Linked DNA regions of Danio rerio. The protein of the gene in region 2 purifies or fractionates together with the protein of the main gene of each other region. This does not show direct contact. Links are inferred from orthologs where the notes say so. Each region holds a gene or a part of one and is shown on either strand. Other genes may lie near its edges. The genes, in order: chd3 and mta3.

The links.
Region 1: the proteins of mta3 (region 2) and chd3 purify together in Homo sapiens (affinity purification with mass spectrometry; 4 studies listed by BioGRID and IntAct, with this or other methods). This does not show direct contact. The link is inferred for Danio rerio from reciprocal best matches to the Homo sapiens genes MTA3 and CHD3.

What each region holds. Positions count from the first base shown.
Region 1 is NC_133182.1:20,735,327-20,739,153, forward strand, and holds part of chd3 (chromodomain-helicase-DNA-binding protein 3), read right to left. Parts: intron 3,369-3,827; coding exon 3,241-3,368; intron 3,153-3,240; coding exon 3,023-3,152; intron 2,750-3,022; coding exon 2,574-2,749; intron 1-2,573.
Region 2 is NC_133187.1:27,003,993-27,008,428, reverse strand, and holds the start of mta3 (metastasis-associated protein MTA3), read right to left. Parts: upstream 3,015-4,436; 5' UTR 2,954-3,014; exon of another isoform or gene 2,850-2,953; 5' UTR 2,812-2,849; coding exon 2,784-2,811; intron 1-2,783. UniProt on the Homo sapiens protein: Acts as a component of the histone deacetylase NuRD complex which participates in the remodeling of chromatin.

The DNA.
Region 1 (3,827 bases), on a different chromosome or scaffold from region 2:
ACCGTACCCCAGACCACCCCTTCAGGTGGACTTGAGTACGGTTTACGGGTGCACATCTGAGTTTAGGAGACAACGTTCACACTAGCTAAACGTACCATACGCCAAACGATCACGGTTGTGGACCTAAATCGCACTTCAGCGTTTATTTGAAAGTAGGGTTGTAACAATATACCGGTATGACGGTCTACCACGATTTGAACGTGCACGATTATCATACCATGAACAATTGCATATCAACGGTTTTAACCCTTAAAGACCGAGACAGCCGCCCGCGGCTAAAAATAAGTATTGCTCTTAAATGTTTAATAACTTTTGATCCGCTGATCCGATTCATACAATTCAAAGATTGGCATAAAGAAGAGAATCTCAGCTTTCCAGTGCTGTATCACATAACATTCACGGACATTCAGAGGCTCCGGAATCAGTGCGGTTACGTCATCAAAATTTGACAACGCTGATTTGACAAAGAAACGCTCGTCACTGTGTCTCCGGACAAACCAGACATGATACATTGATGCATTGTCCCTCCTTCATGCCCAGATTGGTTCAAACTCGCTATATCACAACCAATAAGCATAGGTTTCACTTTTGTTTGTGGACCAACACTGAGCTTTTTGAACAACACGGAATGAGAGATAGGCATACATTTCTGCGCGGCTAAATAAAACGCAAAAAAAAAAAAAAAGTTTTGCATGAAATAATTCTCATACCAAGTACTTTTGCATGCACAGCAGCACAGAAACATGACAAAACAGTGACACAGCAAAGACGAACTGCTGCTCTTGCTGTTTTCAAAAGACACAAATGAAGGTGCAGCTGTTTGTCTGCATTGCATACAACCATATCCAAATCCATATCCACAGACAACCATATCCATGCTGGCACATAAAACCTAAGGATGTTCCATATTGAATCTAGTTTCGTTATGTAACTATTTATAGTATAGTAAATATTTATATCTATTTTTTACTGAGGATTTGCACCATGTTTATTTGGACTTTGACACACTATTTATTATTTTCTTATTTTTTTATTTGTTCATTGTACAAGTGGACACATTCTCTCACCTCTGCGGTCAAGATTAAGTCCTGAAAATCTCAACATGCTTACATTTCTTCATCACAACCTAGACTGAAAAAAACAACGCTTTAAATACATGTTTACAGCCATAAACTTGGTATTGCACTTTTGGTCTCCCATTTATCCTGCTTATAAGGAAGGACAGTTTAAGTTTATTTTTGTCTAATCTTAAAAGACCTTGCTTGTTTATTCCTTCTAATTTAATTTATTAAAATGGGAGATTTTTCAGTTTATTTTTATAAAAGACTTCTATAGTTCTATTAAAATGGTTCTTTCAAAAGTTTGTTGAAATAAAACCTTTGTTCAGTCAGAAAACGTGTTCTTATTCTTTTCAGGGTCTTTGCTATGAGAATTACTATTTAATACCGTATACCGCGAAACCGTCAAACCGTGGTATTGTTTTAGACGATTATCATACCGTGAAAAATTCATACCGTTACAACCCTATTTGAAAGCGCACAAGAAGATCTGCGCTTGAGCAGCATATATTTGAGGGAGCGTGCAAGAAGTTTTGTGCACAGGCAGAGGAAATCTGAGCCCAAGCAAAGCGATCTCGACTTAATACTGCACTCACAACATTTGTCATTGAAATAACACCATAGGTAGATCTGTGTAAAAAAGGCCTGCCGCCACAGCTTGAAAAAATCTTAGAGAAAACACTGAAATACCAATACTATGTTAAAATACAATTATAGGGGTTCATGCATAATTGCGCCAATCAGTCTTTGCAAGAATCATTCAACAGTCTAAACCAGCAGATCTAGAGCAGCGATGGCTATCACAAGTGGTCATGAGACACTATTTCTTGCTTGAATTTACTAAAAGTAAAGTAAAATTAGACGCATAGTTTGAATAGTTTGAGCTACAGTAACCAGAAATAATCAGAGGTTAATGTGTGCCAAAATACTTTAAATATCCCACAAAACACTGAAAACTTAAATATGACTTATTCATAAATTTGATGTCATTTAAATAAATAAATTGGATACACTGAAAAACTTACCAAAAGAGTCGACCCCCCCTGATCATCAATGTATAATTTGCACCCTGGTTATAAACCAAATGAGCATAACCATATCTACATTTCACAGCAGAGACACTTCTATACACATTAATACAAACAGCAATTATAGCATCAGTTTTACTGTTACTGTATCATTTCAAATCATTTTTAAAATGCATGCAAAGTGGATTTGATTCACAGAACAGAAAACATGTCTGTTGACACACTAAAAACCAAACTCTAATACTCAGCGACACCACAGTGTTTGGCGATGCTGTTTGTGGATAGTTGATAAGGCCTAAAGATTACTCATTTAAGTCCACAATCAGTTTTTTCTTATGGGAGAACATAACTCCAAGTTTGCTTTGATCTCTGAAGCTCCACAGACATTTTACAATGACAAACCATTATAATAACCATTACATAAAAGGTGACAGGACCACTTTGAAATCAATCTGTGACTCTGAAGGTTTGAGTGGAAGTGACTCACGCAGTGAGGGCAGCTCCACTTGCCCTCAGGTGCTTTCTCCAGCTCAGGTTCAAGGCACACCAGGTGATAAGCTCTGGGACAGGTATCACACAGAATGATCTCTCCTCCCTGCTGACACACCTCGCAGTAATCCTGATGGTCAGTCTCATAGCCATCGCCATCCTCATCGCCCAGCGCTGAGACAGAAAGATATGGAGAGAGATACAACATTAACTTTACCCCTCTGATGCATAATGTCTACTACTGTTTTAACCAATAAAATCATTTAAACCACCTAGGGTAATTATTATCTTCCTAAATTCTCTGGCAATGAACAAAAACCTCTATCACATTAATAATTTGATGTAAAAGAGAATTGTTTATTACACTTTGTGTCTGTGCACTCAAAAACCCATCTATCAGGAGTTTAGACGGACCTGCAGTGATAATAGCAACAAGCTAATTCTCACCCTTTTTCTTCTTCTTGGCAGGGCGACCCCTTTTATTCTTTTTGACCCGTCCTGAGCTGTCAGAGCGGACTGAAGAACTGTGAACGCTGGAGTTTTCCTGCTCAGAGTCGTCCTCATCCACCTCCTCACTCTGCATTTCAACCACACACACATACACGATCAAAAACACTGCACGCAACACACATTATTGTGCAAGCGGGTTATACACAGACACTCACTGAACTGCTCTTCTTCCTCTTGTTACCAATCGCTCCCAGTTTAATGCGCAGGGGAGCCATTTTCTTGGGTTTTGGCTTCTTCTTGTCGGAGACACGAGGGCTCTTACTTCGTTTCTTGTAGCCAGGGCCTGTCAATAAACAATAAATTGTCAATGTTGGTATTCTAATATAAGTATTCTGTCTAGATTAATAAAAATAATCATGCATCATTTTTAAATGCTAGAAGATATTTCAGATGTCAGAACATTTTAATAAACAAAACAAATATTTTAAAAATTGCTTAAAATTACATTATGTGTAATAGTAATTAATTGGCACTCATTCTAACGTTTTGAGATTTTGGGCTGTTATGTTTACAAATTTTGTCTTCATTTAAATTAGTGAAAATAAATGTAAAAAATGAAGGTGACTTTTTTATTTTTTAATTAATTAAAAAATGTATATATATATATATATATATATATATATATATATATATATATATATATATATATATATATATATATAGTTACAATACTTGCCTGTATGTGTTTTTTAAATTACAGTTCAAGAGCCAGAAACTTTTGACTTATATTTGAATCACCAAG
Region 2 (4,436 bases):
ATCCACATTTCCTCTGGAGTTTTATTTTTAATTTGTTGACTTTAACTGCAATTTGGCACTTCACTTTCATTCAACAATATCTCATGTATGCCCCCTTAGACAAACGAAATATTGAATGCGAGTATGAACTGCTGCAAGAGTGTTGTTTTAATGAAATTTGATACCAGACACCTTATTGAGAAAAACACCTCTGCATTTCACGATGCAGGTGTCTGTAGTCCTTCACTGACTTGGTAGGTGCAAAGAATAATGTCAAACAGCCGTGTGTTTGTGTATAGACCAGGTGTGGGCAAACTTGATCCTGGAGGGCCAGTGTCCTGCATAGTTTAGCTCCAACCTTATTCAAATAGACCTCATCATAGAGTTCTAGTGATCTTGAAGACACTGATTGGTTTGTTCAGGTGTGTTTGACTAGTGTTGGAACAAAGCTCTGCAGGGACACCGGCCCTCGAGGATCAAGTTTGCCCATCCCTGGTATAGACTACTGTATCTTGACGCAAAATGCGGCGAAAATCCTACACAACAGTACCAGTTTGATTAAAATGTTTACATGTCTGTACTGCACTTCAATACTGCAACTAGATCGGCATGTGCCACATGTTGTAATTTGATTTCTGTTTAGTTCGATTATGACGTTAATTAGATTTTTTTATTGTGGTTTACATGGTAGACTCTTAATCAGAGTATTGTCTCAAATCAGATAATTGTTGTCCATGTAAACAATAACTGATGTTTAAATCCATCTCATTTGGCCACTTCAGTAAATTAGTAAAGTAGCCAAATGAGATGGATTTAAACATCCATTATTGTTTACATGGATAATAATAATCCATTTCGAGACAATACTCTGATTAAGAGTCTACCATGTAAACCACAATAAAAAAATAACAATCCAATTAATGTCATAATCGAACTAAACAGAAATCGAATTACAACATGTGCCACATGCCGATCTAGTTGCAGTATTGAAGTGCAGTACAGACATGTAAACATTTAAGAGAGTCTATGTTTGGATGTATGAATGAGCCATTTGTCATTTTTATATATAATATTGTGATATAAGCTTGTGGACCATATATTTAAGCATGAAAATAAGGAGTGAAGCAGGTTTTGTTTCTGCTTTTATAGCCAGAAAACTACATTAAACACCAGACATGCTTTCATGCACCAATTTCTGTTCATCTAAATGAATTAAATCGAATTGCACATCAGTTTACACAATCTAAAAACTATCATCAGATTCAAACATCAGTTTATTTGCTTTATACATTCTGATTGAAACATTTGCGACTGAAACTTGTGACATCATATCACACTTTAGAAAACAGCATGGAAGTAACACCAACAGATCTCATTATTGCTATTTTTGCCCTGTTGGCAACGACATACACATTCGTAAACCAGCAACATACATTTTTTGTGAAATTTTACTTTTTCCATCGATAAGTTCTCTACCTGATGCCATCATGGCAACTAAAGGCATGTATGTAAACTTAAACACCATGTATTTCAAGTCACAGCACTGTGCATATGCCTCGGACAATTTTGCACACTAAAGAATTTTTGGGTAAAGGATACATTCCTTACAGTTAGGCATAACTGATAACATTATCATTTCGATTGCAGGAATTCTTCTTGCACTTACATTACGGTAATGATGAAAATCCCTAGAAATGGCACATTTTATAATGCAATGTTTTTTTTTACTATTCTAAAACATTACCAATTGTGTTGTGTGACCTGACAAGACACTAAGACCTTCAGCTTGGCCTTTGACTGAGGCTAAGAAATGGTTTGTTTCTGGGATACATTTGTATATATAGCATTTGTCAAAAACAAGACGACGAGGTGAAGAATGTGCATTCATTAACAAACACTTCATTCATGCAAACAAGCATTTTCTCTTCATTGCCATTTAAATGACATTCTTACACATGTATCAACACATAACATCACACAAGGAGCATGTCATAAGGTAACCGCGCAAAGTATTCAATTATTACAAATGCTATTAGATTTGCAGTGAATTCATAGGAAGTTTGCTCGTCCAGCTGCAAAAGCATTTTCAATGGCACTGCATTATCGCCGCCATGAAACAATGTCAAATTCCGCGGCATGTAGCCGGCTAATTGCACAAACAAACGACGCGACGGTATTGTTAAATACACGCTGTTAATTACACGCGTGACAACAAATGCACATCAAAACAGTGCAAATTCTTAACGCTTCGGCAAATAAGTGGGCAGAAGTTGAATGTGGTTTCTCTAAGGAAATCGAGTGAGGGGTGTTAAATGCTAGCTCGCTTTGCTACCTTGCATGCCGAATGAGAACCCGTAACTAATGGATACGTGCCAAAAAATGAGACAAATGATCACAAAGAAAAACATCGGCGTCTAAAATTGCAATGGTTAAATAGCAAGCATATCTCGCTTTTAACCTATGTGGGTAAATCTAAGAGAAACGTGCTCTAAGTGCGCGTTTCCGATTGTTTTACATATAGTAGTGATTATTTGTTTATGATGTGGCTAGCTAGCAACATAGCCTGCTTGCTAAAATGCTAGTGCGGCTATGATAGTTTAAGAGGCCTGACCCAAATCAGAACCCAAAATATTCTGCATCCACGTTATCGTTTTCTTTTGCAAGGACACTGCACGTGTTAAAGAGTTTAAAAGTGAGCGGCCGGTTTCGGGAATTCGCTTGAAATGAGTCCCTGCCTTCCAGTCAGGTCTTACGGTGGTGCCTGTGTTTTGACTTGCGTTAATTCAGAATATAGACGGACATACCTCCGACCCGGTACATGTTGGCCGCCATTTCTGCCCTCCCGGAGTGTTAAAAAACCAAACCATAAACTAAAATAAAAACAAAATAAATATGTGAATCAAGAAGGCATCTACGTCCTGTGACCTGTTGGAAAGCAATCTGGCTTAAGAAGTTTTAAATAAGGGGGGTGGACCTCAGTAAGAATAGGAGATTTTTTTGCAGCCCCCCTCCCGAGATTCACAGTACAATACAGTAACTCACTCACGCGCTAGAAAAGGCTCGAGCGCAGCAGCTTCCTGATGATGAGATGAGAGGAGGAGAGAAAAGAGGAGGGAAGGAAGAAGGAGGGTGAATGAAGTCTACAGACTGCAACCTCAACACGACACTCATGACTGTTTTACCCACAGAATTCAATTAATCATGGTTTTGATGTGCATTTAAATCATTTAAAATAACGTTTTCATATTTTGCCAGTTTTTTTGTTATGACAATAAGTGTCTTTTAAAAGCTGTCAATTGTGGAAAACAAGATTGATATACTTGATTCACTGTTTAATTTAGTTTTGAACATATCACAACCCGATGCACAATGTTTTAGCAACCTATTTATATGAGTGGCAAAACCCAGTTAACACCAATAATAAATGCTGACACTTTGTTTGGTTTTATTAGCATGCTACTTTATCTGTCTGTGTCTGTTGTTCTTAAAAAATACTTTTATTGAGGTTTTAATAGTTTAAACAATATATTGTATATGAAATAATAATATATTTAACAACCGAAAAAGTACTTGCCTTTCAATCTGCTGTGAATTTATTATTATTATTTATTTTTTCTTTTATTTACCTCATTAAGGTGGCACAGTGGCTCAGTGGTTAACACTATCGCCTCACAACTAGAGGGTTGCTGATTCAAGTCCTGGCTGTGTCAGTTGGCATTTCTGGGTGGAGTCTGCATGCTCTCCCTGTGTTTGTGTGGGTTTCCTCCAGGTGCTCCGGTTTCCCCCACAGTCCAGAGCAAAGGTGTAGATTTGGCCTGGATGGAGGGCATATGTCCCCACCAATATCTATCAATTACTGAACTATCCCCACCAATAATTGAATCACCTTCAAAATAAAATAATGCTCCATCAACCCTTGTTAACCTAGATATGCAGAAATGGTTAGTGACATTCTCTTCCTGGGTCCTCCCTCCCACAAACACATAAGGACAGTGTGATTGGCTGGGCCTATTTATGCTGTTATTGACAGCTTTAATTAAAAATCAAATAGTCCTCATTAATTAGTCACTTTTGGTAAAATCATGAATGAATAAACATAATGAAACTGCCTTTCCAGTACAGGGGTTCATGAATTAGTGTACTCTCGGGGTTGGGTTGCGGGTATGAAGGGCATCCAAATCATATGCCAGACTAATTGGTGGTTTCTTCCGCGGTGGCAACCCCTGATAAAACAGGAACTAAGCTTAAAGAAGATGAGCGAGGGAGCAAGTAACAGCCACCAAAGACCAACCATTAAGAAAAGTCAACACATAGCCTTGCATTGACTCACTCACTATCCTTCATTTATTAGTGGTCGCCACAGCAGATTGAACCGGCAATTACTCTGGCATATGTTTTATGCAGCCCTTCCAGCTGCAACCCAGTGAGGAGAAAGACCCATACACTCTCTCATTCAC